Mus musculus: one gene and its partners. The main gene of each other region encodes a partner of the protein of the gene in region 3 in a complex. Links are inferred from orthologs where the notes say so. Each region holds a gene or a part of one and is shown on either strand. Other genes may lie near its edges. The genes, in order: Mettl3, Cbll1, Rbm15b, Virma and Zc3h13.

Evidence for each region.
Region 1: Rbm15b (region 3) and Mettl3 share a complex: the UniProt entries of both Homo sapiens proteins name them as parts of the WMM complex. The link is inferred for Mus musculus from reciprocal best matches to the Homo sapiens genes RBM15B and METTL3.
Region 2: Rbm15b (region 3) and Cbll1 share a complex: the UniProt entries of both Homo sapiens proteins name them as parts of the WMM complex. The link is inferred for Mus musculus from reciprocal best matches to the Homo sapiens genes RBM15B and CBLL1.
Region 4: Rbm15b (region 3) and Virma share a complex: the UniProt entries of both Homo sapiens proteins name them as parts of the WMM complex. The link is inferred for Mus musculus from reciprocal best matches to the Homo sapiens genes RBM15B and VIRMA.
Region 5: Rbm15b (region 3) and Zc3h13 share a complex: the UniProt entries of both Homo sapiens proteins name them as parts of the WMM complex. The link is inferred for Mus musculus from reciprocal best matches to the Homo sapiens genes RBM15B and ZC3H13.

Annotation. Positions count from the first base shown.
Region 1 is NC_000080.6:52,296,909-52,302,927, forward strand, and holds part of Mettl3 (N6-adenosine-methyltransferase subunit METTL3), read right to left. Parts: intron 3,494-6,019; coding exon 3,276-3,493; intron 3,198-3,275; coding exon 2,793-3,197; intron 1,908-2,792; coding exon 1,732-1,907; intron 1,178-1,731; coding exon 961-1,177; intron 751-960; coding exon 563-750; intron 50-562; coding exon 11-49; intron 1-10. UniProt on the Homo sapiens protein: The METTL3-METTL14 heterodimer forms a N6-methyltransferase complex that methylates adenosine residues at the N(6) position of some RNAs and regulates various processes such as the circadian clock, differentiation of embryonic and hematopoietic stem cells, cortical neurogenesis, response to DNA damage, differentiation of T-cells and primary miRNA processing.
Region 2 is NC_000078.6:31,488,240-31,494,258, reverse strand, and holds part of Cbll1 (E3 ubiquitin-protein ligase Hakai), read left to right. Parts: intron 1-2,079; coding exon 2,080-2,180; intron 2,181-2,663; coding exon 2,664-2,747; intron 2,748-3,717; coding exon 3,718-3,791; intron 3,792-5,944; coding exon 5,945-6,019. UniProt on the Homo sapiens protein: E3 ubiquitin-protein ligase that mediates ubiquitination of several tyrosine-phosphorylated Src substrates, including CDH1, CTTN and DOK1. Targets CDH1 for endocytosis and degradation.
Region 3 is NC_000075.6:106,883,100-106,889,784, reverse strand, and holds the start of Rbm15b (putative RNA-binding protein 15B), read left to right. Parts: upstream 1-2,709; 5' UTR 2,710-2,817; coding exon 2,818-5,481; 3' UTR 5,482-6,685. Other genes in the region: Manf (mesencephalic astrocyte-derived neurotrophic factor precursor), read left to right, coding at 560-744. UniProt on the Homo sapiens protein: RNA-binding protein that acts as a key regulator of N6-methyladenosine (m6A) methylation of RNAs, thereby regulating different processes, such as alternative splicing of mRNAs and X chromosome inactivation mediated by Xist RNA.
Region 4 is NC_000070.6:11,508,546-11,514,564, reverse strand, and holds part of Virma (protein virilizer homolog), read right to left. Parts: intron 1,538-6,019; coding exon 397-1,537; intron 1-396. UniProt on the Homo sapiens protein: Associated component of the WMM complex, a complex that mediates N6-methyladenosine (m6A) methylation of RNAs, a modification that plays a role in the efficiency of mRNA splicing and RNA processing.
Region 5 is NC_000080.6:75,335,173-75,341,191, reverse strand, and holds part of Zc3h13 (zinc finger CCCH domain-containing protein 13), read right to left. Parts: intron 5,271-6,019; coding exon 5,118-5,270; intron 3,823-5,117; coding exon 3,622-3,822; intron 1,884-3,621; coding exon 1,720-1,883; coding exon of another isoform or gene 1,703-1,719; intron 1-1,702. UniProt on the Homo sapiens protein: Associated component of the WMM complex, a complex that mediates N6-methyladenosine (m6A) methylation of RNAs, a modification that plays a role in the efficiency of mRNA splicing and RNA processing.

The DNA of each region.
Region 1 (6,019 bases), on a different chromosome or scaffold from region 3:
TTCTACTTACCCCCAGAGGTTCAGACATTCTCTGCCCAATTCCATGGCCCTAAAAAGATGGAAGGGGGCTGGTGAGATGGCTCAGTGGGTAAGAGCACCCGACTGCTCTTCCAAAGGTCCGGAGTTCAAATCCCAGCAACCACATGGTGGCTCACAACCATCTGTAACAAGATCTGACGCCCTCTTCTGGAGCGTCTGAAGACAGCTATAGTGTACTTACACATAATAAATAAATCTTTAAAAAAAAAAAGATGGAAGGGTTAAACAATTTATCTGCCCACATTTTCATATTTTTTCCTTCAAAATGTCACATGTATTATAAATAACAGAAGCATTCATTGCTGTTGGGGCAACAGTGAAAAAAGATGAAGCAGCAGCATCTAATCTGAAAGACCTCATTTTTCTAAATCAGGAATCCCAAGTATTAGTGCTAAAAACATCAAACCCCTCAGAAGAGGCAGGCATCCTAAGTGACATTTAATCAAATGCCTGAGAAACCCAGGACTTTACCCAGTTTTCACTCTGCTGTATTTCCCATACCTACATATCTGGATTATATTACCTTCCTGTGACCCAGAGGAAAAGAAAGCCGTCATCCTGTAGCACTGGTATATTGAGCCTGCGCATCTCATCATCTGTTAATGTCCCATACGGTAGCTCCATGTGAATATCCCAAGGTGGGTCAGCCATCACAACTGCAAATTTGCCCAAGATACTGACGTCCAGGTAGCGGATATCACAACAGATCCACTGCAGGAGGTAGTATTTGGTCATCTTTCCTTCTTTCACAGATTTCACAGTCCCAAACCCTCTACCTCAAGCATTCCTATCCCATTGTGCTCCCATCAGTAAGCCAGATTGCTAAATTATTCCCTATTTTTCTACATATATGGATACCCCACCCAGTTTAAGTATATAGCTTAGAATAGGTTGTCCCGGGCTGTGTGGACATGTAGGTACCTGAGGTGGAAAGAGTCGATCAGCACTGGAGTCACCCCCAACACTCTGTGTAAGAGCAAGCTCCTGGCTTGGCATATGCTCCTTGCTGCCAGGACTCTCAGAATCAACACAAGCATCAATTTCATAGTGAACATATTTGCAGGTGTCCATGTGGAAACATGTGTTAAGGAAAGAGCAGTCACCTAAAGATTCATCAGTGTGCTTATTGATAATTCGTCTGGGAAAATAAAAAAAAGGGAATCAGAATCAAGATGGTACTTCAAAAGTAGATCATACAATTCAAAATTTCTTGTTCTCCCCCAATTTTCTGCATTGTTAAACTAAAGGACTTTCGTTCTCCTGACTAAAGACTTGATCTGGGGGCAGCGGCTTAGGCCTATAATCCTAGCACTGATAACCAGAGCCTGAAAATCAGAAAGCCCATCCTCAGCGTGCCCAGCCGGAGCTCTGAAACCTTGTCTCAAAGACAACAGAATACAGACTTTCTTCTCTTACTAAAGGGAAGGATATCGTCCAGGAAGGCCTCCTTACTCCAGAGTAAACACCGGCCCTACGCCCAGGTTCCTGACTTCTCCTAGGACTCTCTGCCTTCCAGACTTTAACTTTCATTGTTACTCAGATCCAGATGCTTGGCTAGAAAATCTTCCTTTTACTTGCAAGTGAGCCTGTACTCCTTCTCATGCAGTAGCCATTCCAAAGGCAGGAAGAATATGCTGCAAAGGAACTGCTGCTCCTGCGGAACCCTCCCCACCTCATTCCCTCCCAAGAGACCTGAAGTGCAGCTTGCGACAAGGCCGGTCAGCGTCACTGGCTTTCATGCACTCTTCCTTGGTCCCATAATCACAAAATTCTTGCACCTGGGCCCGACCTCGAGAGCGAAACTTTTCAACAATGGACTGTTCCTTGGCTGTTGTGGTATTTAATAGCTCTAGGATCTCCTGACTGACCTGTGACAGAAGTAGCCTTGGTCTTAAGGGTTTGTAGATAAATTAGCCCTTAAACTGACTGCCTCCATAAGTCTAATCACTTAATGTCTAATGAGGAATATATGAATGAACAATGTAGCAGAGTTGTTATAGGCTCAGTCCTCCTCACAAGCATTTAGAATGTAATTCAAATGCAAAGAGCCTGGTTTCTACAACTAAGCAGTAAGCCGATCTTACCTCCCTAAAAGAGTGTAACTTCCCCTCAAAAAAGCTAATTTGGATTGATTAGACAACTAAGAAAGGCACAGCACTAGTCTTCTATTGCTTAGCTCACTCTATTCAATAGTTCTGTAAAGAACAACTCTGGTTATCGTCATCGAAGACCAAACTAACATTTTAAAACTAAACTAGAAATTGGGAACAAGTAAGAATTTAATATAGTTCAAATCAGAACCATTGTACTGATAATTTCATCAACTTATATAACTTGGTCCAAATGAGTACTTATTTAAATTTCTGTTTTCTGAATCCTCTTTTGAGAATTCTTCCAGATTCTGTAAATAAGGACTTCCTCGAAACGGCATTATTGATATTTTAAGACTAGACAGTTTCATCTGGGGAAGGAGGAGTGGGGAGGGGTCCTACTATACATTGTAGCATGTTTCACAAAAGTTTCAGCCCCCACCTTCCAGATCCTCTCTCTATTGAGTGCCAACAGCACTCTACCATACTGTGATAACACTGGACACAGAAACCACCGAACGTGGGGTAGAGGTAATGGTAGAAGAAATCATCCCCATTGAGAAACACTGCTCTACGTCTCAATTCTACGAAATACTCCTTGTGCAAACAGTAACAAATCAGAACTGTAACTAAGGAATGTGAGCGTGTTCGCGTGGTCCCTACCTTCTTGCTCTGCTGTTCTTTCGTTGACTGTTGGTTCAAAAGGCTTTCTATCTCCAGATCAACATCGGAGGCAGCGTGCTTCCTTGACTTCTTAGCCGGCTCCTTAGCTGGTTCTGATGCTGAAGAGGCCAGACCAGATGCTAAAGAGCTGGCAAAGGTGGTCACTGTAGTCAAATCCTGTTCTGCACGCCGTTTCTGCCCTGCGATGGTCCCTGCTACCTCTCCAAGACCTTTCTTTTCTGCCACAGCCCCCATCATGGCAGACAGCTTGGAGTGGTCAGCGTAAGTTACAAGAGTAGGATGTGCATCATCTTGGAGGAGACCTCGCTTTACCTCAATCAACTCCTGGGCGGCAAATTTCTGGAGAAGGCTTTCTACCCCATCTTGAGTGGCAGGTGCATCTGGCTAAAGAAAGGAGAAGACGATAAGACACCATGAACAAAAGCAAACTCGGGATAAATTCCAATTTCATCAGGTGATTACCGTAGAGATGGCAAGACGGATGGAAACAGCATCAGTGGGCAAGGTCAAGGCCAGATCTGAGAGGTGGTGTAGCAACTTCTTCTCTAACTCAGGGTCTGTAGCTAGTTCAGGGGCCACAGATGTTGTGCTGGGCTTAGGGCCGCTAGAGGTAGGGGCAGTAGGCACGGGACTATCACTACGGAAGGTTGGGGACAGTGCCGCTTCTGGGTTCCTTAAATCTACAAGGAAGAAAATAAAGTGGAAAGGGTCAGTCCAGTCAGTGTTCACGTTCCTCGGGGTTCAACTGTCCAGCATCGCTAGCACACACATCTTTCACTTCAAGCAGGGTCTCTGACCAGCGTTAGCTCTAGATCACCTTTCATTCACATGGCAGCACTTGCTGTTTTGCCAAAATAATCCTGGATTTTCCAGAGAACTACTCACCGTTTCTCTGTTGGGGGAGCAATCTTTCCCTGATTCTCTGCCCTCACTGCTTCAAAGGAAGTAATGTAGCATGGTACATTTACAGGCAGGTCTCTGCCACCTTCTCCTCCTCTCAAATGATACAATAAACCCATACTTTAACTAAAATTTACAAACAAAAAAAGAGTATTTTCAATAATCAAAACTGGGATCTCAGCACTTGGGAGGCAGAGGCAGGTGGATTTCTGAGTTGAGGCCAGCCTGGTCTACAGTGTGAGAGTTCCGGGACAGCCAGGGTTATACAGAGAAACCCTGTCTCAAAAAATGAAAAAAAAAAAAAAAAAAAAAAAAAAACCAAAAAAAAACAAAACAAAAACCCAAACAAACAAAAACCCTGGGATGTGATTATGTTTCCCAGGGATGGATCTGAAATTTTAATGAAACATGGCTATTGGCCATGGAGAATATGCTTCATAAACATAAACACCAGGCCCTTGGAATACTTGGCCAAAGGCCTGATCAGCAAATGATGGTCCCAGCATATTCCCACTATATGATCTTACTCCACCACTGTACACATGAAAAGGTCATGGAAGCACAGTAAAGGTTTGGATGGTTTAAAATAATTGGCCTTAGCTAAAAGTATACAAAGAAATGTAAGTAATAATTGCTACATAGCACACTTACAACAGTGTTAAGAGAAATACTTGCCTTCAGCAGGACTGTGCTGGTGGATATTAGACTCTTGGAATTCAGAGATCCTACAAGTCTAATAAATGTGAACTAAAACAGAGGCATACACTAGGAGCAAATCCTGAACTTTCTTATTGAAGTTATAAATTTGAAGTACCAAAAATTTACTTTCAATGAGCAAATATGCACGATGATAAAAGCCACTGTAACAAGGAAACACGAGCTCTTTTCAAAAAGGAATTCAGATTCTATTAACAAACGTAAGTGTTAAAGTGTTTTCTTGATTCAAAGTATGCCAAGGGGGCTAATGTATAAGTTGTGGAAGCCAGGCCTGTAAGCTTGGGAGGCTAAGGCAGGAAGGATCACAGAAGCTTTGGGCTACAGAGTAATTCATGTCTAAGTCTAGACAGTTTAGCAAACCTTTCTCAAAATAATACATTTAAAAAGGCAGCCGGGCATAGAAGCACATTGCCTTTTAGTCCCAGGCAAGCGGAGGCAGGCAGTTAGCTCTGAGTTTGAGGCCAGCTTGGTGTATATAGTAAGTTCCAGACCAGCCAGAGTTACATGGTGAGACATTTTCCCCTCCCCTTAAAAAAAAAAAAAAAAAAAAAGGATTTTTTTGATAGGGACTATAAAAGTATAGGTGGGGTTTTTTTTTGTTTGTTTTTTGTAGCTCTGGCTGTCCTGGAACTCACTATGTAGTCCAAAAGTCTGCCTCGCTTTGTCTCCCAAGTGCTGGAACTGAAGGCATATACCACCACAACTATCCTATTATTGGTAAGTTGTAAGTCAAATTATATCACTACTTTGTCATGGAGATGCCTGATTTTTTTCACAGGGTCTTACTATTTAGTCCAGGCTGGTCTGGAACCTACTATGTAACCCAGTACAGCCTCAAACTCTGCTGCCTTAGCCTCCTAAGTACTGAGATTACAGGTATGAACTATCATGCCTGGCCTTGTTTGTCTGAGATAGGATCTACTTAGCCCACGCTAACCTAAAAATTTCTAACCTCCTGATGGGGTTATAGGCATGTAATGCCATGCCTAGCTTGTTAGGTAGATTTTGAAATGGTTTTAAGTCATATATTAACCATTTCCCCATTTATACTCAATTATGTGGCCAAGGCTGAAAAGATGGCTCAATGGTTAAAATGCTTGCTGTTCAAACCTGGGGTTTGGTCCCCAGAACATATATGGTGGCTGACAACTATTTGTAATCCAGTTTCATGGGATCCAAAGATTTCTTCTGGCTTTGAAGGGTATTGGGCACACATGTGGGGCACATAATTCCGTGAAGGCAAAACACTTACATAAAAAACAAACAAACATGTGTGCCAAGCACTGTGTAATACAATCCTATTCCTACAAATGTTTATTTTGTTAATCAAAACTCCAGGCAATTCTTTTTTATTGTTGTTGTTTTGTTTTTCAAGACAAGGTTTCTCTGTATAGCCCCAGCCATCCTGAAATTTGCTCTGTAGACCAGGCTAGCCTTTGACTCTGCCTCCTAAGTGCAAACTAAGATTTGTATGTGCGCCACCACCACCCAACATGGCAATTCTTATTATACATTGACTTTGTAGGGTTTTTTTTTTTTTTTTGTCTAGCCCAATTTAATGAGCATACTTTGGGAAAGCTGTCCATGAC
Region 2 (6,019 bases), on a different chromosome or scaffold from region 3:
CAGAGCATTACATTAAAAGTAAAATTTGTTTTCACGGTCCTCTATAAAACTGATGCTAGTGCCCCTTAAAAAAAAATCTTTCAAGTAAGCTGGGTGGTAGTAGTGAATGCTTTTAATCCCAACACTCCAGAGACAGAGGCAGGTAGATCTCTGAGTTCAAGGCCAGTCTGGTCTACAGGGCAAGTTCCAGGACAGACAGGGCTACACAGAAAAATCTTGTCTAGAAAAACCAAAAATAAAATATAGTTTTACCCAGGTGAGGTGGCACATGGCTGAAATCCCAGCACTTAGGAAGCTGAGACAAGAGGATTAATGTTTGAGGACAGACCCTGTCTCAAACAAATGAGTAGTCCTAGATGTTTAGTCTGTAGATATCCTACAATTTATTTTACTTTCTTGTAGATACTTGTTTTGCCGTAATTGTGTTGTAATGTGAATATTAAAAATTTGACTTGAGAAGATGGCCAAATTCTTGAAATGGGTGAGGGTAATTGCCCTAAGCCTGGTGACCCAAGTTTCATCCTAGAACCATTTAAAAGGAAGGAGAGAACTGACCTCCACCCACCACTCTCCATATGTGCAGACCCCTCCCTCCATATCATGTACACAACAAATGACTGTTTTTAAAGACTTGATTTGTACATTTCAGAATATATCAGATCTTGCTAAATTCTTCAGAAAGGGTGTGGTATAGTTTCTACTCACATACTCAGTATTTTGCACTATTAATTTAACTTTTTTTGAGGCAGAACTTGGATAGCCATTCTGCTCTTGAAGGTCAAAAGTCTTGCTGCCTCGGCCTTGTCAGTGCTGTGGTCACAGGCAGGAGCCTAAGTGTGGTTGGATGCCTTTTCATAGTGCTCGCCAGTTCTTGCCTCAGTTCCAGGCTCTGTTTTGATTGCTGCCTTTCTCTTAATTTTGAATTCTTTATAATATTGGCTTTGTTAAATGTCTGTGTAGTTCATTTATCTTTTGAACTTTGTATATAAAATATTACTGTAAAGAACTTGGACATTCTAGGAAGCCAGTTAAACTAGAGCTTGCTCTCTCCTGTTTTTAATATATTCTTTAAAAGGCCTTTCCTAGTTTCATGAATATAAAAACCGCTTCCTGTCTTGCCATCTGTTAGAAGTCAGCAAGCTGGTCTACAGGCCAAGTTTGGTTCCTTTAAAATAGATAAAGTTGCTGTTCAGTTAAGAGTATTGCCTTGTGGCTATTTTCCTACTAGCGTGGCAGAATTAACTAGATTTATATGACCAAGAAAGCCTAAGTTTTGTACTGTGGCCTTTTATAGTAACAGATTGTTGGCCCATACTTTAGAATATTTATGGGTGTGTTTTGTTTTTTTTTTAAGTGATGTTTTGTTTACCATAAATACTGAGTAATTGGTTTTTTAATTCCAGAATAGAAATCTGGCTGTTAACATACATTCAAGTTCTAGAAGATCTGTCTTACTCCTAAATTCTGTTCCGTAAACAACATGGTGATAATTGGTGAGGTTTTATATTAGAGGTGGTTAGTGGAGTTGCTAAGAGCATTGAATAAGAGACTCGGTTATAGGTCTGTTCTTGGCTCTGGCACGTGGCTTATATGGTGGCTGCTGTACCCACAGTATGTTGTCATTTGTAAAGTACTAGAGATGGACTCAATGATCATGAAGACTACTTCCAGCCGGCATTTTAAACTCTAGTTTAAAAATGATATGCCAGTTAATTTCTGTGACAAATGTGAGTTGTCTATTAAAATCTGTGGGAAAACGGTAAGTAAAATTAAGGCCTGGTGTTGTAGAGGTAGGACTCTAGAATACTTTTACTACGTTTTTTATAACTAGTTTTATATACAAAACTCTAAGGGAAGTTTTATAATAACATGAATTTAATATAGGTTTAGTTTTTTGTTTTTGTTTTTTTATTGTTTTAGAGTAGTTTTAGGAATTTTGATTTTCATGTTTTTAGATCTCTGAAAGTTATCAGAAACATTTTTCAGTAAATATATATACTTTTAATTTTGTTATGTAAATAAATATACTTTAAATTGAAATTTGAAGTTGGAAAATGTAATGTAACTTTTTTCTCTCAGAAGGATTTGATTATAACGAAGAACAGCGATATGACTGTAAAGGAGGCGAACTCTTTGGGAATCAGCGAAGATTTCCAGGACACCTTTTTTGGGATTTCAAGGTATAACTAAAAGTGAAAAATTAGAAATTAGGCATTAAGTACTTATCCACTAAGTGTGGATTTTTAGTATGTCGTGACGTGTAGCACACATAAGTCCACTTGCTTGTTTTTACCATCTTCAAAAATAATTTGAATGCTGGGCGGTGGTGACTCACGTCTTTAATCCCAGCACTTGGGAGGCAGAGGCAGGCGGATTTCTGAGTTCCAGGACAGCCAGGGATACACAGAGAAACCCTGTCTCAGAAAAAAAAAAACCAAACAAACAAACAAAAAAATAAATAAATAAAATAATTTGAAGTAATTTTTGGTAGAACCAAGTAAAATCATTAGCTGCTATTTAAGAAGAAGAACAAGCAAATGGAATTATACTAATCACTTTTTACTTCTGTTTATGGTAACAACTTAAGAAATTCTAACCATTTCACTGTGTGAATTGAAAAGTACAGTTGCCTAAAGAGATAATTTTAATTATCACTTCAACAGATAAACATCTTAGGTGAAAAGGACGATACACCAGTACATTTCTGTGACAAATGTGGACTGCCTATTAAAGTCTATGGGAGAATGGTAAGGACAACTAAGATTTTTTTTAATAACTAATTTTATAACATAATAATGTACAAAAAAGCTAGGGGGAGTTTAATAATACCATGAATTTAGTATAATTATTCTTTTTACTGTTTTAAAATAGTTTCAGGAGAAACATGGTAAGATAAAACACATTTAGAGTTCTTTTTCAGGAGCTTTTTACTTGCAGGGACTATTTTAGCATTGATAGGTTCACGTATCTGAAAATAGAAGCAGGTACCAGGCAAGGGGGGATAGTCTTCTAGTCCCAGCATTCTGGAAGTTGAGGCAGAAGGATCGTAAGATCAAGGGTTGCCTTGGGTACATCAGAGTGTAAGGCAATCTGAGCGGAACATGAGATCCTTCTCCACAAAGAAAAAGCAGTGTGTTAGCAGATGGACAGATGGACATGTATTTATTGGAAAAAGAGCCAAAGTTTTCAAAACATTTTCAAAAACTTGTGATTAAAAATGGTTGCTGGGCAGTGATGGAGCATGCCACCCACTTTAATGCCTCATTTAATCCCAGCACTCAGAAGGCAGAGATAAGTGAATTGTTCCAAGACAGCCAAGGCTAAGCAGAGAAACCCTGCCTTGAAAAACCAGATAGATAGATAGATAGATAATCCCAGCACTCAGAAGGCAGAGATAAGTGAATTGTTCCAAGACAGCCAAGGCTAAGCAGAGAAACCCTGCCTTGAAAAACCAGATAGATAGATAGATAGATAGATAGATAGATAGATAGACAGACAGACAGACAGACAGACAGACAGACAGACAGACAGACTCCCTCCCTCCCTCCCTCCCTCCCTCCCTCCCTCCCTCCCTCCTAGCTGCTTCTGGTATATAGTCTTAATAAGTTTTCATTTAACTCCTATGTGCCTCCTGTTGGTAGATCACTGTACTGACAATTAGTATTGAAAATTTCTAATTTGTTCTAGGATGCTTAACTATGATATTTTTGCCTACAGATTCCATGCAAGCATGTCTTTTGCTATGACTGTGCTATTTTACATGAAAAAAAAGGAGATAAGATGTGCCCAGGGTAAGATATGATCATCTTTAGATGTTCTAGTAGTAGTGGCTTATAAGCAAGATGGGTTAAAGGTTTTGGAGTAATGGGACTAGACAAGGATGCAAACGTGCTGGCTGAGCCACTCTGTGTGAACCTGGAGTTAGTTTTCCCCTTCTCTGGAAGATGGAGCTAGCCATTGTCAGTTCATTCAGAGTAGCTGAAATGATGACATCTCTGGGAACAGTGTTGGACAGCAGAGCGGTTTCTTGTTTTCTCTTTTGTGTGTGTCTGGCATACCTGGAAGCAAGTATAGCGTGGTTTGCTGATTGAGAACAACCTCTTTCCAAAGTGAGAATTAACATCTTTTATTATTAATTGTATGTGAATAATGTGGCGGGTGGTATGAGCATGTGCCAGGGTCAGAAGGCAACTTGGTGGAGTAGTTCTCTCCTTCCAACTTCACCTATGCTCAGGGGATGGAACTTAGAAGAGCAGGCTTGCATAGAAAGCACTTTACCTGCTGAGCTGTCTCACTGGCCCCAGGATTAGAATGGTTGAGGTCAGGTCCCCATTTGACTATTGATCAGCTGTGTGGTACAAGTGGCTTTATAGCTATCGGCTCCCTGTATTCTTTTTAAGATGAAGTAAGGATTAATGAACAGTAGAATTGGCATATAATAAACACTACTATTCCTGTTTTCCAATAACCCAAACAGGTGTGTTTTGGGTGATAACGACATCATGATAGACTCGAAGTTATACATCATGGTATCTGTCTTGGGATAGCTCTATAATAAAGTGAAAATTTATATTAATTTGGAACCCCTGATAAGAAAGCCTTGAGAAAAATGGAGTGAAACTTTGGATTAGCTCAAGGGTTTCCAGATCCTCTAAACCTAAAATTGAAAGTACCCCAAGGAACACCATTGATTGTTAACAAAACTATAAACAACTGTAAGAAAAGATTTCCCCTCTGTGGTGCAGGATATGGGCTTTGCTAAGAAAAAAAGGGGGTGATTTGTTAATGACCCAATGACAACTGATTTTCTTGGTATATTTCATTAGGTTTTTAAAGTTATAGATTATGAAATATATACTGTGTTTAAAAGATACTACTATATGTTCTATAGAGTTATAATTCAGAAGAATATAAAATTTGGAAGTATATATTGTAGCCTTTGTTGAAGTATTTCTCTAATGCCTTTCCCAGCCCAGTGTTGTGCATTAGCTTAATATAACATGTGATTGTTCCATTAAGATAAAGAATTAAAATGTAATGCAACATTAAATGTAGTGAACATTAAAAGATTCTCTCTTTTACATAGATTTTTTTTTTAATTTATTTACCTATATTTTATGTGCATAGGTGTTCTGCCTGCATGCCTGTCTGTGTGAGAGTGTCAGATCTTGGAGTTAACAGACAGTTGTGAGCTGCCATGTGGGTGCTGGGATTTGAACCCAGGTCCTCTGGAAGAGCATTCAGTGCCCTTAACTGCCAAGCCATATCTCCAGCCCATAGAGGTTTCACTATTACTATTTAAAAGTGCAATTTAGTTTTCAGGTAACTAAATGTGTTCTAGTATGCACTTCACCAGTGTAGTCTTTAGCTATCTAGAGAGAAACCTGTCTTAATTGTCAAACCAAGGGCAGGAAATAAAGTTACCAACCAGAATTAATTTAAATAGTATATGCTACTGCTTTTGGGCATCATGCAAAAGAAAAGACCTTACCCTATTTAGCATGGATATGTTTCTGACTGTGTAGTAATTAGATGGCTGAAAAGCAAGAAATGTGCAAAGTGGCCACAAATTAGAAGCACCCTAGCTCCTACAAGGAAAAGAGACAACTCCCTGGTTGTAAATGATAGATCCTTTGCTTTGTCATTCTTCTATGTAAATCATACTATAGTTAGAGAATATTAATGAGCTGTAAGTATTGGGAAATAGAAGGTCTCTTAAGAAATTCTATTTTGGTGTTTAGAGTTCTGAGGTAAAAATAGTCTCTGGTTGGTAGAGATGTTGATGATTAGTTTCTGATACAAATAGAAAATGTTAGAGGTCCACTAACAGTAATTCAATACTCACTGTTAACTTTGCAAGTATATTATATTTTAAATTAAAGCTTAAATTAAATGTGCTGTTTGTGTTTTGGCTTTAGTAAATCATTTTTTTCTTCCTGTTTAGATGTAGTGATCCTGTGCAGCGGATTGAGCAGTGCACACGAGGTTCTCTCTTTATGTGTAGCATTGTTCAAGGATG
Region 3 (6,685 bases):
CTCTAAACCCCAGGCGTGACAGTTACAGCATCACCATGGCAGAGCCCATCTGGTTGCACAGAATCCTAGTCTCGAGAAGAGCTAGGCCTCTCCTATAAAGTTTAAACGATGCCAGTGTTTACTGCACTAATGTTCGGGAATTTTGTACTTGTGTGAATTTGATTTGGTATCCTGGTTGGTTCTGGTGTCGGTTTGTTTGGGTCACGTGGGTTATGGAGTAAGTGTCTGACTCTGGTGCCTCTTGGGGAGGCTAGGGGTGTGTCTGCTCTGCTCAGCCTGGAGCTGTCCTTTGTGCTGGCATGTAGGAAGCCCTCGGGGAACTGGAGCTATGTTCCTTCTCTAAACCACATAGGCTGTCTGCACTGTGTGTCTTATGGTGGCTACTGACAGCCTGAGGTGGCCTTCCTGGTGAAGACTGTCATCTCAATCTTGGGCGCAGTGTGCATTTGTCTTCCCGGCCGCACGTAGGGCTGGACATCCTAAGGATGGTTTGACGTGCAGCACAGTTGGGCCTGCAGCCTCTCCTGCCCAGCCATTTACTCTCCTGCTCTCCCTGCAGACAAGCAGATTGACCTGAGCACAGTGGACCTGAAGAAGCTCCGGGTGAAAGAGCTGAAGAAGATCCTGGACGACTGGGGGGAGATGTGCAAAGGCTGTGCAGAAAAGTCTGACTATATCCGGAAGATAAATGAACTGATGCCTAAATACGCCCCCAAGGCAGCCAGCGCACGGACTGATCTGTAGTCTGCCCAATTCCTGCTGCACCTGAAGGGGAAAAAGCAGTTTATCTGTCTCTTCCCCAAATAACCATTTTGTAATTTATTTTTTAAGCGGGCTCCTGACAATGAGATGTGAACCTAGAGCTTTCCTAGTGATGCTGGCTCTGCAGTTCCCTCTTGCCCATCCCCGAGTGGGGACAATTTCCCCATCCCCAAGTGGGGACAATTTACTTCCTTCTTTGCTGGTTTACTCTAGGACTTCAAAGTTTGTCTGGGATTTTTTTATTAAAAAAAATTGTCTTTGGAGAGTTGAGCTGGCACAGTATTCTGTCCTATAGATTACTGGTTTATCTTTCCAGTCTGAAAAGATCCCTCAGCCTGCCAGTGCTGAGGGCCTGAAACTCCCATAACAGGACTTAAGAGCTTGGGCAGCCAATGTCTTGTGGGTTTGGGCTTCTGGGTGTCTGATACTTCAGCCTGGTGAGGTTAGACTTGACCCCTGACCCCCACCCCCATCCAGTCCAGTAGCAGGGGCTGAAGGTTCTTGAGCTGCTGTTAAGTCTAAAGGACATTTACATTTGGCTCAGCCTATGCAGAAGGAGAACTGTGAGCTGAGTACAGGTGGTCAGACCATAGCGTATCTTTACCCCGCCTGGTACTTAAACTATTCATTCATCGGGGTTCCAGTCTAGCATCAGAACAAGGACCCTTGCTTACCTATATTTTTGGCAAAGTTGGCAGGAATCGGTTTACAAAGAAGCAGTGTGAGCTGGTTGTAGTGGAAGGCCTGAGGGAGTTGTGTGCACTGTGGTTTTCAGTTGCTCCCTTTGCTGGCACTTGTGAACTGTGCCTCAGTGGGGAAACTTTGCTCCTGCTGCCTCCAGAGATAATGAGAAAGGAGCAACTGCTAAGAAGTTATGTTTTCCAAAAGGCTCGTCTTAGCTATCTTCTTGTGTGGTCCCCAAATTCACTTTGCATTCGCAGGGCCTTACATGAAGCCCTCTGCTGTTTCTTCCAAGTTCCTCCTGCACTTTCTCCTCCTGCTGGTTGCTTTCTGCTTATGGGAGGAGGGAAGAGCTGGGTGCGTTCTTCGACATCCTACAGATGCATCAATGATCCAGCAACCGTCTGTGGAGAGCATAAGCCCTAGGGGCCTTTGAGTACTCTTGCCGGTACTTCACCTCATCTCCTGGATGTGGTCAGAACACTGGCCAGCAGTCTGTCAACTTGGCAAGAAGTGATAATGGCATTACCTGCTCTTTACCCTTGGCTCAGCAGCCCCACCTTCCCAGCCTCCTGTCCGCCCAGACACCTACAGCAGAAATTTGGACCCAGTGGCACCAAGATGCCTGTCTGTAGGTTGCAAACGCATTCTAGTTTCTGTACCTGGACCCCGGGGAGGTCTCACCTGTGTCTATCAGGACAGTGCCTGAAGAATTCGAATGCATAAGATGCCTGGATGTGGGTCCTAGGCAGGGTGTAGGCATCCTTGTGTGTCTATTTTCAAGGGGGCCAACTCTGGTCCTAATCAGAAAACTCCATGGAAGGAAATAGAGTTTCTTCAATCTAGTGGCAGGTTGGAGTGGGACGCGCAACACTTGGCTTCGGGCCAAGCGGCCACACCTGCTCCGGTGGGCGTGGCCCCGAGGCGGAAAAAGATAGGCGGACCCGGAGTAGCAAGCAAGCCCTGGAGCACAAAGCGAAAGCGCAGCCGCGGCCTGCCGAGCTCGAGAGGGAATCTGCGCGCGACCCAGGAGCCGGGTGCCTGGGCTCCGGCAGCCACGCGGCGGCGCCAAAGCTCGCAAGACAGGCCGCTTCCTCTGGTTGCCAAGATGTCACGTGGTGCGGGGCCACGGAGCTCCGTGATAGGCAGCGAGCGAAACTCTCGGCCCGCCCACCGCGGTCACGTGTCGCGGCCGGCGCAGCTTGATAACGCAGCGCCGGGCCCCTCGGCGCCGCTCCCGCCCCGCCCCGCCGCCGCCGCCGCGCCGAGTCCTTTTGTCCAAGATGGCGGCGCCGGGGGCGCTGCCTCCTGGGCCGCCGCCGCCGCCGCTCTGAGGGACCCGCGGGCCGCCCGCCCGCCCGCCGAACCGGCGCGATGAAGCGGCAGAGCGAGCGAGACTCCAGCCCGAGCGGGCGTGGCTCGTCATCGTCCGCCAAGCGGCCGCGGGAGCGCGAACGAGAGGCAGAGGCGGGCGGGCGGCGGGCAGCGCACAAGGCCTCCGGCGGTACCAAGCACCCGGTCCCGGCGCGGGCTCGCGACAAGCCCCGCGGCAGCGGCGGAGGCGGCGGGCATCGCGACGGGCGCGCTGCCGGGGATGCGAATCACCGGGCGAGCGGCGGGCGCTCCTCGGGCGCGCCCGGAGGCGGGGGACGCACCGGCAAGGCCTCCGGGGACCCGGGTGCTGGCGGCGCGTCGCCCCGCGCATCTCCACTCCCGCCGCCCCCGCCGCCCCCCGGGGCGGAACCCGCGGGTCCGGGCTCCACCGCGGCTCCGGAGTACAAGACGCTCCTCATCAGCAGCCTGAGCCCCGCGCTGCCGGCCGAGCACTTGGAGGACCGGCTCTTCCACCAGTTCAAGCGGTTCGGGGAGATCAGCCTGCGCCTGTCACACACCCCGGAGCTGGGCCGCGTGGCCTACGTGAACTTCCGGCACCCACAGGACGCGCGGGAGGCTCGCCAGCACGCCTTGGCCCGGCAGCTGCTGCTCTACGATCGCCCGCTCAAGGTGGAGCCGGTGTACCTGCGCGGCGGCGGGAGCAGCCGGCGCAGTAGCAGCAGCAGCGCCGCCGCCTCCACGCCGCCCCCCGGGCCTCCCGCGCCCGCCGACCCCCTGGGCTATCTGCCCCTGCACGGTGGCTACCAGTACAAGCAGCGCTCGCTGTCTCCGGTAGCCGCCCCGCCCCTGCGGGAGCCCCGCGCGCGGCACGCCGCCGCAGCCTTCGCCCTGGATGCTGCTGCCGCGGCGGCCGTGGGACTGTCTCGAGAGCGAGCCCTGGACTATTACGGGCTGTACGACGACCGCGGCCGCCCGTACGGCTACCAGGCCGTGTGCGAGGAGGACCTGATGCCGGAGGATGATCAGAGAGCCACTCGAAACCTCTTCATCGGCAACCTGGACCACAGTGTTTCTGAGGTGGAGCTTCGACGGGCCTTCGAGAAGTACGGCATCATCGAGGAGGTGGTCATCAAGAGGCCTGCCCGCGGCCAGGGTGGTGCCTATGCCTTCCTCAAGTTTCAGAATCTGGACATGGCACACAGGGCGAAGGTGGCTATGTCTGGCCGGGTGATTGGCAGAAACCCCATAAAGATAGGCTACGGCAAGGCTAACCCCACCACCCGCCTCTGGGTGGGTGGTCTCGGACCTAACACCTCGCTGGCGGCCCTGGCCAGGGAATTCGATCGCTTCGGGAGCATTCGGACCATCGATCACGTCAAAGGAGACAGCTTTGCCTACATCCAGTACGAGAGCCTGGACGCAGCCCAGGCTGCCTGTGCTAAAATGAGGGGCTTCCCCTTGGGTGGTCCAGATCGCAGGCTCCGGGTGGATTTTGCCAAAGCCGAGGAGACTCGCTATCCCCAGCAGTACCAGCCCTCACCTCTCCCTGTGCACTATGAGCTGCTCACTGACGGATATACCCGGCATCGGAACTTGGATGCTGACCTTAGGGTGCGGGATAGGACCCCTCCACACCTTCTGTATTCAGACCGAGACCGGACCTTTTTGGAAGGGGACTGGACCAGCCTCAGTAAAAGTTCAGACCGCAGAAACAGCCTGGAGGGCTATAGCCGCTCAGTTCGCAGCCGGAGTGGTGAGCGCTGGGGGGGTGATGGGGACCGGAGCATAGCCAAGCCCTGGGAAGAGAGACGCAAGCGGAGGAGCCTCTCCAGTGACCGTGGGAGGACAACTCACTCCCCTTACGAGGAACGCAGCAGGACCAAGGGTGGGGGGCAGCAGTCTGAGCGAGGCTCAGATCGCACCCCTGAGCGTAGCCGCAAGGAGAACCACTCCAGTGAAGGGACCAAGGAGTCAGGCAGCAACTCCCTCAGCAACAGCAGACATGGTGCTGAGGAGAGGAGCCACCATCACCACCACCATGAGGCTCCAGACTCTTCCCATGGGAAAAAGACTAGAGAGAGTGAACGCAATCATCGGACCACTGAGGCAGAGCCCAAGACTCTTGAAGAGCCAAAACACGAGACCAAAAAGCTAAAGACTCTGTCAGAATATGCCCAGACACTGCAGCTGGGTTGGAATGGGCTTCTGGTGTTGAAAAACAGCTGCTTTCCGACATCTATGCACATCCTTGAGGGGGACCAGGGAGTTATCAGTGGCCTCCTCAAAGACCATCCTTCTGGCAGCAAGCTGACCCAGCTAAAGATTGCCCAGCGCCTTCGACTGGATCAGCCCAAGCTGGACGAGGTCACCCGGCGAATCAAGCAGGGGAGCCCTAATGGCTATGCTGTGCTCCTGGCCATCCAGTCAACCCCCAGCGGGCCTGGCGCCGAGGGCATGCCCGTGGTGGAGCCAGGCCTACAGAGGCGGCTTCTCAGGAACCTAGTCTCCTACTTGAAACAGAAGCAGGCTGCAGGGGTGATCAGCTTGCCGGTGGGTGGGTCTAAGGGCAGAGACAACACAGGCATGCTCTATGCCTTCCCGCCCTGCGACTTTTCACAGCAGTACCTCCAGTCAGCGCTGCGGACATTGGGCAAGTTAGAGGAAGAACACATGGTGATAGTTATAGTAAGGGACACCGCCTAGCCCGCACCTGTGCTTTCCAGCTGTGTTTGTGTCACAGAAGCAGTTATTTTAAAGATCTGCTCCTTCTCCACCTACCTTCTCCCTTGGTTTGAATTCTCTGCTGGGTTTTTGTGGTTCATTTGGTGGCATCCTGTCTACTGCTAAAACTAAGTTCTTAGATTTGGGGGGAATTTTTGTTTTTTTATAAGAAGAAACTTATGTTTCCCGTGTATGAGATTCTGTCTGCTGTATTCTGTATTTTTTTATATTTTATTTTATTTTTTTGACTAACTGTATGGAAAATTGTCAGTAAAGCCTTTGTCAGAGGATGAATTTTTAATCCCGCCAGAGTCCTGGTTTAATCAGGTTTTTTCGTAAAGAATGGAAGGCTTCACTCAGAGCATGCCGTATGTCATGTTTTTGTCACCACTGCTTCTAAAAGTTGTGCTGTGCTGGTCCTGCGCAGCTCTTTGTGCTATCGGGGCCCAGCTCACACTTGTCAAACTTAGCTGCTGGCCAGCAGGCTTACAAGGCATGGTCCCTGTTTATACTAGCCGAAAGCTGAGCCCGTTCAGAGGAAAGGCCTGGGCCTAAGACCTGTGCCAACAGCTACAGGTAGTTTTGTTGTTTTTCCCTGCCCTAAGTGTGTGCTTTAGTTTGGGCGATGGCTGTTGGACAGAGCACCCAATTATAAAAGCCTGTTTAATGGAGGGTAGTTTTCAGTTGTGTAGTCTTGCATTTGGGGGGAGGAACAGTGCAATATTGATGCAAACGGCCGTGGGCATGACGTGCCCAGGCTCCCCCTGGTTCCGTCTTTTAGTCTTACTGTGTAGTTTAGGGTCTCCCCTATCAGTCATCTGCCTGACTGCCAGGGGTCTTGGAGGTAAGATGTTGGCAGGCAGGGTAAGCGGCAGCCAGACTTGTTAACTCTTCAATGTGCTTCCTTCGCTCTCAGGGCTATGTCAGAGCAGCCTGTGCTGCAGTCAAACTTCAAGCTTTGTGGCAAACAGACCCCCCAACTACACTGCTCAGTCTGCAAGGGTGTCAGTGCCAGGAAGATGCCCTTGATGAGTGACATAGTGTTCCGTGTTGTGACCCAGACCTGAGGTAAGAAAATAGAGAAAAGTCACAGTTGTGATGGACTAGAGCCCAAATCCACATCAGCTTTGGTATGAAGGAACCAGACTGATAAGTCCTATGTCTGGGATGGGAAAGTGACTAGGCC
Region 4 (6,019 bases), on a different chromosome or scaffold from region 3:
CAAAGACACACTGTCAGGGGAACAAAATTGCATCATAACTTATGATGGACAGGAGTGGTCAGGAACCAAGGTTTTACAGAGAGCCTCTCCTTCCTGTGCCAGCCTCTTCTACCACATCCCAGGAGGTCGGCTGCTTTACCTTTGTTTTACTTACAGACAACTCAAACAAGCATTGTTATTGTTCACTAGCACCTATATTCCTAACTCTGCTTTATATACCAACACATGCAGGCTCACTCAAACAGTAATGTATCTCTAAGTTTGCTGCTGAATACCTATTTTGAGATATCAACTATCCTTACATAATTATGTACTGCATATGAACAGAAAAAAATCAAAGTCACAACATAAAACTCCCTCCAATGATTTGTGATCCAAAAGCCAAGTATACCTTACCTAAAGAGGACAGGGTACGGGTCATCCCGCTCTGGAGGCCCGGTAATCCGGGCTATTGTGGGGAAAGACTTGACAGGAGGTTGGGTCATTGTATGAGGTGCAGTTTCCATGACATGAAAAACCTCCTCTAAGAGATTAGTAAGCTTTTCTATTTCACCTTCACTTATAATTGAGGACTCCAAAAGATCCATGTCCATAGAAGCTTCTACTTCATTCTCATAATCGGGATTTGCTCTCTCCAGCACAGCATCTGTGTCCTGGTCAGGCTCACTGTGGTTAGGAACAGCTGAAGTCTTCTCTGCTATGTGGTCACCAAGTCTTTTAATCTCTGACAAGATTTCATAGAAATGGCATTTTTGAAGAATAGCTGAGCCAGCAGTGACAACCCTCACAGTCTGATCCAGAAGTATGAGTTCCAGAAGTCTTTGATAGCCACTTTTCTCATTTTGGGTGCTTCTTAAAAAAGCCTCCATTCCTTCTGTCATGCTAATGACACTGTCCAAAGCTTTAAAAGCATTTAACTTAAGGGAAGATGAGACATGATCAGCAAATAAGAGATCAAACAATACATTGATCACTCCTGCTTGTAGCAATTCTGTGACTCCTGGAGCCCCACATTCTGCTAATGAGGTCACTAGCTTGGTCCCAGCTTTGAGCTGTCGGACATTTAAGGCTATGGGCTGTCGAAAGGCTACTTGTAAATTTAAAGCTTGCATTGTCCAGTCTACCAACTGGCCAAGGGAGTCTTGTTCTGTGTTTTTCAATTGCAAATAGCTTAATCCTTTTATAATTAGACTTGGAATTTCTTCTAGAGCCGTCACCCACTTTGCACCCCTGTCTTCCTGATACAGGTCTAGCAGTTCAGTTAACTTCACCGAGGCTTCTACTGCCCCTGAATTCTCTTTATCTGGACCTTGATCCTTCATTCTACTGATTTCAATTTCAAAAGTAGTTTTGTATGGACAGCTGAAATACAAGAGTGGTGCCAGCTCCCTGTCATACGGGTCATACGTCATAGGAGGGACAGATGCCAGGTCTTCTGGAGTATACTCAACATCGAAGTTTGGATACTTGAATGTTTCACGTTCCAAGTCAGCAATTCCATCTTCATCACTAGAGATCTGCTCGTAGCCATCGTCCCCTGAAAATAAGTTTAAACAGTATCTGAGCCCTATATCACTCTTATGACTGTATAATGCTGACTGACCAACAAACACCCTGGTTCATGGTAAACCATGCATCTGAACTTTGAATGACTGATTTCCTCAAAAAAAAAAAAATTCAACTTTTGCTCCCCCCATAACAAGAATTGACAATACTTACACTCTGTAATAGGATAATTATGGATAAGCTTACTAATTAATTACTGTTATAATTAATTCTGTGATGACACCTTTTCCTGACAGAAATAGAATTAGAAATTCAAAACAACAAAAACAAATTCTCTTAGAAGGGAAAATATAAAGCTTAACCTTCTGAAACATTTAACTTTTTAAATTATTTTTGATTTTGCAGGTGTCTATGTATGAATATGCGCACACGAGTTTGCAGGGAGGCCAGAAGTATCAGGTGCCCATGGGCTAAAGTTACAGGCAATTCTGAGCTGTCCTATGGAGATTCTGGGAACTGAACTTAGGTCCTTTCAAGAAGCAGTTCATATTCTTAACCAGTGAGCCATCTCACGAGCCTCTTCAGAGATTTTTTAAAATAAACTTTTCTATTTATTGGGCTTGGGGGACATGTGTCACAGCACATGTATGCAGCTCAGAGGACAACTAGCATGAACAGTCAGCTCCTTCTGCATGCAGGTCCTGGGGACAGAAATCAGGTCATCAGGTTTGGCAGAAAAAGCCTTTACCTAATGAACTATCGCAAGCTCAAGATTTAATTTAATTCTATTTATTTATTTCTATTTCTTTATTTATTTGAGACAGTCTCATCATGTAAACTATACTGACCTGGAATTCACAGAGATTTGTCTGCCTCTACCTTCTGGTGCTATGATTAAAGGTGTGTGCCACCATGCCCAGCTCAAGCTTATGTTTAAGAATTTAAAAAAACAAAAAAACAAAACAAAAAAAAACCATGGTAAAGCTAAGTCAGAGCATTACAAGCCAGGCATGGTGCCCAGTGCCTGTAATCCCAACACTCAAAGGACAGGAGACTGCACTGAGTGCCAGGCCAGCCTGAACATCAACAGTGTCTCGGGGCTAGAGATATGGCTCAAAGGTTAGCAATACTTGCTGCTCTTCCACAGTGCCCAAGTCTCATTTCCAGTACCTACATGGTGGCTCACAACCATCCTGTTCTAAGGGTCTGATACCTTATGAACTTATGTCCATCCTTTGTGGACACTGTACACATTTGGTACTCAGACATGCATGCAGGCAACAAAATACCTCTACACACAAAATAAAAGACTACCTCAAAAGAAGAGAGTGAGGGAGGCTGAGGAGAAGGCTCAGTTGGTAAAGGGTCTAGCACTCAAGCATAAACTCTGGGTTCGGATATCCCCGCACCCATGGAGAAAACCAGAGTAGAGGATGGGGAGGTTCAAATGAAGACGTGTAAGAATGAACACCAGAGTCTGGGTATCCAGAACCCATGTAAATGTTAGGGTGCAGTAAAATGCATCTATGACCCCACCACTTGAGGGCAATGGGAGCAGAGACAGGTGGATCTTAGAGGTAGATAGCCAGACAGCCTAGCCAAACAGTGAGCTCCAGGTTCACTCAGAGACCATGTTTTAAAATATAAGGTAAGAAAATGATATAGGGGCACTGTAGAGATGGCTCAGTGGTTAAGAGCACTGGCTGTTCTTCCAGAGGTCGAGTTCAACTCCCAGCAACCACATGGTGGCTCACAACCATCTGTAATGGGATCCCATGCCTTCTTCTAGTGTGTCTGAAGTCAGCTACAGTGTACTCATATACATAAGACAATAAATAATTCTAAAAAAAAAAGTGATATAGGAAGACACCTAACTGAGTTAACTTCTGACACAATGACACACACAGACAAACCGACCGACAGGAGGGGGTGGGGGGCCAAGTGGTTAAAGTGCTTCCATCCAAGTCTCAGAATCTGAGCTCAGAATGAACTCCAGAGCCCACATCAGGTGGACCTCAGTGTTCCTTCATCAAGACAGGATGTGAGCACAACAACATCCCTAAAGTGTGCCGGCTGGTTGGCCTGGAGTATGCAGCTTTAAACAAGAGGCCCTTTCTCAAGGTAGAAGACAAGGACTGACACCTGAGCTTGACACGCACACATGTGCCTATTCTTTTTGTTTGTTTGTTTTTTTGTTTTTCGAGACAGGGTTTCTCTGTGTAGCCCTGGCTGTCCTGGAACTCACTCTGTAGACCAGGCTGGCCTCGAACTCAGATATTCACCTGTCTCTGCCTCCTGAGTGCTGGGATTAAAGGGGTGCGCCACCACGCCCGGCACATTCTTCAACACACAACATATAGACACATACATGCAAAGACAAAAGGAAAGAGAATACTGTAATTACAAGATGAAGTATTTTCACAAAAACAAACAAACAAACCTGTATGGGGCTGAACTGATGCTCAAGGATCATTTCCAGACGAGCTAGCTCAGTTTCCAGCACCGATATCAGGGGCTCACAGCAGCTGGACGCCAGCCCAGGGATTCAATGCCCTCTTCTGGCCTCTTTGAGAAGCTACACTCACATGAACTTATCCATACACAGAATTAAAAATAAACTATTGAGCTGAGCATGGTGTCAAACCCCTTTACCTCCAATACTTAGGATGTGGAGGCAAGTGTATCTTGTTTCCTGGAGACAGCCTGACAGCCTGGTCTACAGAATGAGCTCTAAGACAGCCAGGGCTACACAGAGAAACCCTGTCTTAAAAAAAAAAAAAAAAAAGGCCGGGCGTGGTAGCACACGCCTTTAATCCCAGCACTCGGCAGGCAGAGGCAGGCAGATTTCTGAGTTCGAGGCCAGCCTGGTCTACAGAGTGAGTTCCAGGACAGCCAGGACTAAGCCTCTTTTGTTAATCACAATATAAGAACAGCTTTTTTCCCCTCTGTATCAAAACAGAACTAAAACCAAAGACATTGGTATGACTGCCTACTTATAAAAAAGTAAAAATGTATAACGATACCCCAATAAGAAAGGACAGCAACCCACCCACAAAACCTTTGACCCAAAATGTGTCTTGCCTACAAGATGTGCAGAAATACAAAGACTGAGCAGAGAATGAGGGAATGGCCAACCAATGACTGCCCTAAATTGAGATCCATCTCACAGGCAAGAACCAATCACTGACACTATTAATGATATGTTATATTTGCAGATAGGAACCTAGCATAACTGTCCTCTGAGAGGCTCCATCTAGGAGCCAATAGAAAGAGATACAGAGACTTGCACCTAAACATTAGATGGAGCTCAGGAAAAGGGAGTTGGGAGAAGGGACTTGAGGACAGGGCCTCCACAGGAAGACCAACAGAATCAACTAGCCCTTGGGGGCTCCCAGAGACTGAATTACCAACCTAGAGCAAGCCCGGGCTGGACCTAGATCCCTGCACACATGTGGCAGAGGAGCAGCTTCATGCAGGTCTCCTAACAACTAAAGCAGGGGCTGCCACGGAGCCTGTAGCCTGCCTGCCTGTGGATCTCGAACCCCTAAATGGACCACCTTGTCTAACCTCAGAGGGAGAGGATGCACCTAGTTCTGCAGCAACTTGATGTGCAGGGGGCGGGGTGATAGTGAGGAGTGACATCCAGAGGGGAGATTCCCGCTTCTCTCTTGAGAACAAGAATATTCTCACCTGGAATAGGGGGAAGACTTGCATGAGGGGTGCTGGGAGGAGAGGGAAGGTGATAATGGGTCGTGAAGTAAATTAATTAATTTTAAATTTTTAAAAAGACAGACCCCCTGAAATGTTCCTAGAAAATTGCTCCAGCCCTCTCTTGCTCACCCTTAGTAACACACTCATGAAAGCTGAATCTCTAGGAATCTGACTCTCTGACAGCCCAGACACACTGTAAGTCGAGTCAGCCTGTCCACTCTTGCCTTCTCTGCCAAGCTGCTAAGGTGTTACTAGATGAAATGTAACTATCAGCACATCATACACACAAATCTAAGCATGATTACTTGAAAATCTGGGAATGGAGGAAGCTAAAAAATGTAGCACTTAGCATTTAATTATGTGTTTATCTTATAGACACACTCAGGGTGAAGGCTGTGTTAGAATTACAGGGCATCTGTGAGCTCACAAATGTCTGTAACGATCTAGCTCATAAATACCCTTGTAATTCCAAAACAACCCTCACTTATTTTTTTAAAGCTAAGGTAAACTGCCACTTTGTATAAATGTTTAGCATTGCATGTCATTTCTTGCAAATTAAGAATTTTTAAAAGATATTTGAGTTACCTGGTCAATTAACTTTTTTCTTGGTCAATTAACAAAAATTGTTCAATTTTTTATTTTAAAGGAAAACTTAAACCTAATCAAAAAAAAAAAAAAAAAAAAAAAATCACACCACTCAGTCACATGTACTTAAACTGAGCTACCCAGACAATTTTCTGAAAATACCACAGCATTTTGTTAGTCTTTCTGTGTCATTTATCTTTGTTGGCCTAACTTATGA
Region 5 (6,019 bases), on a different chromosome or scaffold from region 3:
CACTGAAGAAAAATCTATCTCTTATCCCAGGAAATAGCCCTGTTCTATTCTTCTCTTTTGTAGTGACATAAAACTTAGTCCCAGTATTCTTCATGGGGTTTCTGAGCATTTAAAACTGCTTTCCAGTTCTGTCCTGTCTCTCAGCGCGTGCTGTTATTTGTAACCCAGGCTGGTCTCAAGCTGAAGACCCTCCCCCTCCCCCTGAGCAGAGCTCACAGGCTACAGAAGAGTTCACCAGGTCCACCTACTGCTGATGTCCTCAACACCGAGAAATCTGAACACTCACAATTCCCTCTGCAGATGGATCAATTAAGCCATTCATAATGAATCATTAAATGTCACAATGTGTCATATGGTCCATTAATTATCTGTACTCTGAATTACAAGATATAAGGCTCTAAACAATTCTTGTTGAGATTGTTCAGGGCTTTTGAGTTGCTACTGTATCTGAGGGACACAACAGTATATTAGGGAGGAACCAAGAAGTACCATAAAATATATTTTACACAAAGTGGTCAGTATCCTGAAGATTAGAATCAGCCATAATATGATGCAAATGTAATTAAAACTGAAATAATAATAGGATAATGGTGACTATTGCTATACGTACATGCTTAGAGATGGGGGATGGTAATACTCAAGAGAAATGCTGAGTTGAGAAAGGCTGCCAGGACAGACAGCACCCGGCAGCAGAATGAGACATTAAGGACACGCAGGACAGGGACAGCAAGGGATGATTATTGTAGTGTTCAAAAGCCATTTTCAACCAGGACTTTATGTGGGAAAGATAAGATAGACAGAGGAGACAGAGAGACAGAGACAGACAGACAGAAGGAGGGGGGAGGAGACAGTGAGATAGAGACAGAGACAGAGAAGGAAGGAGGGAGGAAGGAAGAGAAGGAGAGAAGGCGGGAGACAAACAGAGGGAGAAGGAGAACAGAAGGGGAGAGATGAAGAGGGAGAGGGAAAGGGAGAGAGAACACACAGAAGCCAGAAGAGGGTGCTCCCCTGGAGTTAGAGTGATGTAGGTGGTTGTGAGCCACCTAACATGGTGCTGGGAACTGAACCCCAGCCCCCTGGGAAAGCAGTAAGTGCTCTTAACCACTGAGCCAGCTCTCCAGCCACATAGACTTGACTTTCTAAAAGGTCTCCCATCGCGCCTATCTGTGTTCATTTTAATCTTTAGAGAGGGTTTATATCTTTTGTTTTATAAATTTAATCTCCTCAAATCTCTTTTTCTTTATAGAAATTTAATAGGAAGAGAATCAATGTTTTCCTGTGGACTCCTGTAGAATCTTAGTGCTTTCTAACATTACTGGCCAGCTTCTTTTGTCACATGTCCTCCACACTCACCTACAGCCCCAGTTTCCAACTTTAAAAAGCCCAAGCCTCTCATGAGATCCTTTTCTGATGTTTAATCACCTTCATTACTCTGTAGTAAATACTGACACACGCTCTGACATACAGTCTGCTTCATTACTCTGTAGTAAATACTGACACACGCTCTGACATACAGTCTGCTTATCTTAAGGAGCCTTGCTCACAGGTAAAACAGCTCACAGAATGAATGGACTTTTGTGCATGAAGTTTGGAATGACAATTATTCACAACAACCACTCATGTGAGGTCTTCCTGTATGTGCCTGGGAGACGAGGAAAGCAAATTCACAGAACAGTTAAGATGAAAAATATACTATTCCTACCAACCACTGCGCGGTACCTTTTCGTTCTTCACAAGCTGCTTCCGGATTGCAGAGTCCCGTCTGAAACATAATGCTTTACAACATGGTCCCAGGTCACTAAGAAGACTTGCTCGCTCTTCTTTTCGAAGTAAAGCAGCCATGTTGAGAGCCCCTAGTTCATGTTCGAAAAGGCTGTCTGCATCTTTCAATCAAAACAAGCATACGTTAAGTTTCCCTAATAGCGAAGTGTCACCATTGACTTAACTGAATACTCCAAGAACCTCTCCTTTACTAAACCAGAGTGAATGACTTGACAAGGCAAGCAGCAATGGTCCCCATGAACGGACCTTCAACACACAGGTACCTTGTTCATCTTAATAAGAACAATAATGTGATGTTATTTTAAATTTAAGATGTGCCAAAAGCAGACTTCAGAGGGAGAATGAGTCCACTGACTACTGACTTGGGAGAAAGGTCAAGCAAGAGCATTTAAGTCAAACTCAAGGGTCTGGCCTAGAAGTAAATCCCACTTACAGTCCTACATCTCAGGACAGCTCTACAGCAAGATTCAAACACAGTCACAGCAGAGACAGTGGCCTCTGGAACCCCTGCTGTGAGCACAGCTAGGTGTTAGCCAGACGCCTCAGACACATGGGACAATGTGCTAAGACACAATAACATGGTTTTCGATCAAACTATGTAAGGGAAAGAGAAAACACTTAGCTTGACATACACACTGACACATAGACAGATAGACGCATGTGTGCATGTACACACACAGACACATACACACACACAGAAATTTTTATTAAAAAATTAGGATGGGATAAAGTAGACAGAAAAACAGGGGTTAGAGGAGTTTTTTTTCGCAAGGCCATAGATCTAACCAAAGTGAAAAGAATGTGGTAAGAACCTTCAGATCATTTTTCAGGTTACAAAATGTTCACAATTACAATATTAGTAGTCTTAATAAGAAATTTTACTGATTATGGGACTAGGAAAAAGGACACAGGTTCATGACACTTTTAAAATAATACCCCCCCCAACCAAAAAACAAACAAAAAACCAAAACAAACGTAGTAAGTAATGGTGCCTTCACTTTTCTCCCTCCCCTGATTCAAGCATCGGCTCAGCCTCTTGTTGATAAAAGTTCTAGTAAGCTACAAAAGGACATCAGAACAAACCACCCATATCCATACATTAAAAGATTCAGTTCTGCTAAAAGTTGTAATCAGGTGAAATACTTTCTGACTAAACACTAACAGTCAAAGCACAGCACTACTCTGTCCCAGGCACTGTTCGCAGTGTCCTACCTGTACTAACTAGGCTGCTCTTCACTGCAGTCCAAAGACCTTGGTGGTGTAAGTACTCCAACTCCAACTCACAGGAACAGATAGGGACTAGGTGACAGGCAGGGCCTGGATCACAGACCAGTGACCCTACCCACCGAGCTAAACCATTCTGTTAAAGGCTTAACTTAGACTTTGCCCTTGGGTACATCCTCTGCTTGTTACCAGGTGAAAGGTTGTGAAGTCATCCATTATTTGCTTAGGAAAAAAAAAAAAAAGAAAAAACCTACAACATCATGAAGTGCTTTGTTTAGCCCTGGGCAAAGCTGTATATTCTGACACCTGAACTTCTGTGTTAGAAAGCAATTTTCTCTTTCTGTGGTGCTGCAATCGAGTCTAATGCCTCCTGCTTACACTCAGTCACTGAGGCAACCCTCCAGCCTTCAAAAACATTTTTGATACAGAAAGTTCATTTTCTTATTTTTCTAATGTTTTTGTCAGAATTAAGCTTTTCTTGAACTTAAGAAATAATATCAATAACTCCTTAAAACTGATCCTGGAGCACAAGTTCTGAAGACAACCAAATGGAGCCCTTCCCAAGACCACACTAACAATCATAGCATGTGACACAGTGAAGGCAAAGGAAGTCACCTTTGGGTTTTTCTACAAGTTGTTGACATGTTTCTTTAACTTTGGTAAAGAGCTCAGAACCAGCCAACTTTTTAGAAATCCCAACTCGTAGCAGAACAGCTCCAGGCGTGAACTTTAAGAGTGCAGCCCCAGGCTCTCTCGGTTCTTTCGGGTGCTTTGGCATTAGTCCAGACCAGTCCACATCTATTACATCTAATGGATCTGTAAAACAGTTAAAGAAGGGAAGAACAGGACTTAATCCCAGCACTCGGGAGGCAGAGGCAGGTGGATTTCTGAGTTCGAGGCCTACCTGGTCTACAGAGTGAGTTCCAGGTCAGCCAGGGCTACACAGAGAAACCCTGTCTTGAAAAAACAAAAAAACAAAAAAGAAGAACCTTTCCATTCTTAGCCGGGCGTGGTGCCGCACGCCTTTAATCCCAGCACTTGGGAGGCAGAGGCAGGTGGATTTCTGAGTTCGAGGCCAGCCTGGTCTACAGAGTGAGTTCCAGGACAGCCAGGGCTACACAGAGAAACCTTGTCTCGAAAAACCAAAAAAAAAAAAAAGAAATGGTTGTCTGAGGCTGCCGAGATGGCTCATCAGGTAAAGGTGCCTGCAGTCTGATTCTTGGAACCCACATGGAAGACAGAGAACTGCCTAGGAAAAGCTGTCTCTCTGAGTGCCACACATGCTCAGCCAAAAAAAAGGTAAGTTATTGAATGTAAAAGGGTAACACAGTGACTAGTCACACAAAGCAGACAAGCTACTGAAGACGTGTGACAAATTACATCTATAAGTTAGGAAATAAAAGGTCAAATGAAATAAGAATAGTATAATGATCCAGACCAAGCCAAGTAACTCCCTATCGTAAGAACAACAAGAAAACAAAACAACAACAGGCAATGCCTATAACCTGGGGCTTGGGGAGGTGCAGGCAGGAGAGTGAGAAGTCACTGTCAATTATACAGGGGGTTTGAAGTCAGCTTGGAGTGACTACATGAGATCCTGTCTCAAACACTAAAATAAACGGTCAGGAGTGTTGCGTCCTAGTACTCACTCCAGTGAGCCGGGCAATGTACACAGACAGCACGGTAAGGACAACAGTCACGGAATGGACACATTTCAGAAAAGGAACTATATCAGCTGTGTTCAAACAAACTTCAGCTACCTCTATTTTTGAAAGTTGTTTAAAAAGTTGACTGAGCCCACCGCAGTTGTGAAGTCTTGCATCGCATGCCTGCCATGGTGGACACTGGCAAGCAGCTGGGATGTGCTGAGGTTCTGGGTGAGATAATATGAATCTGAAACTCTGGAAAAGAACTCTTACAATTCTGCTCTTCCCTAGGACACGCTTCCACAGGGAGTGCCAATTAAGAATAGAGACGCACACACTGTACCATTCTTTTAATGGGAAGAGCTAAGTGCCCCTTACCACCTCTTACGGCAGAACAGAACCAAGCACGCATTCCCCCCCCCCCCCCCCCCCCCCCCCGCACTTCTGAGCTCTGCCGTGCGTTACCTGGCATCTTCTCTTCTTCCTGCTGGTCCTCTCTCTTTTCTGCATCCCCTGCCAGAATTTCATCTAGCTCGTCATCACTGATGGGCTCATATCCTTCCCCAGCACCAGATCCTAATGAATGTGCATCATCTAACTTGGATTCATCATCTCCTGCTAAACAAAGAAGTTCATGTCAAAAATAAATAAATAAAAACCAAAAGGAAATTATAAAAACTAAAAGTGTAATTAAAAGGCACTGGGCACAATAATAAGCCATAAAAAAGTTTGTTTTTTTGTTTTAACCAGAAACCTACATTGCTTAGTCAAACACTTGATACATTAACCTGAAAATTTTTACTAGTCACATTCTTAATATTAACAATATAGCAGCAATATACAAACGTGCTGTGAGGCCACAATTAAAGTATTAGAAATAATGTTGAGCAGGTCGCTATACTGACAGCTCATCCATGTGCACACTCGATTGTGCCACTTCACCCTGCCTCCCTTGTTCCCCTTCCTTCTGCTGGAGCTCTTCCTCAACACGCTCCCTCCTACTCCGTGTCTTCCTTTTGTCTGTTAATTTTCAATAATAACACCTGAACATAAGAAAATCTAATTCCTAAAGGCTATAGTAATTTTTTACCCAAATAAACTCATTTTAAAAACTTGCAAACCTATTTTAAACTACAGTATCAGCTCAAATCTTAGTCTATGATATTTAGCTCATTATATGAGCTTTTTAACTGTGAGCACAGATGTGAAAATGCATTTAATTTCTACTACCTCTCTATTCCACTTCTGTCTCAATGTTTTCCTTACTGAATAAAATTTTTGGAAGAATGCTGTAATCTACTACCAAAGTGTCTTGTTGCCATCAGTAGTATAAATCCTATTTTGTTATTTTATCGACTTTCCCCGGC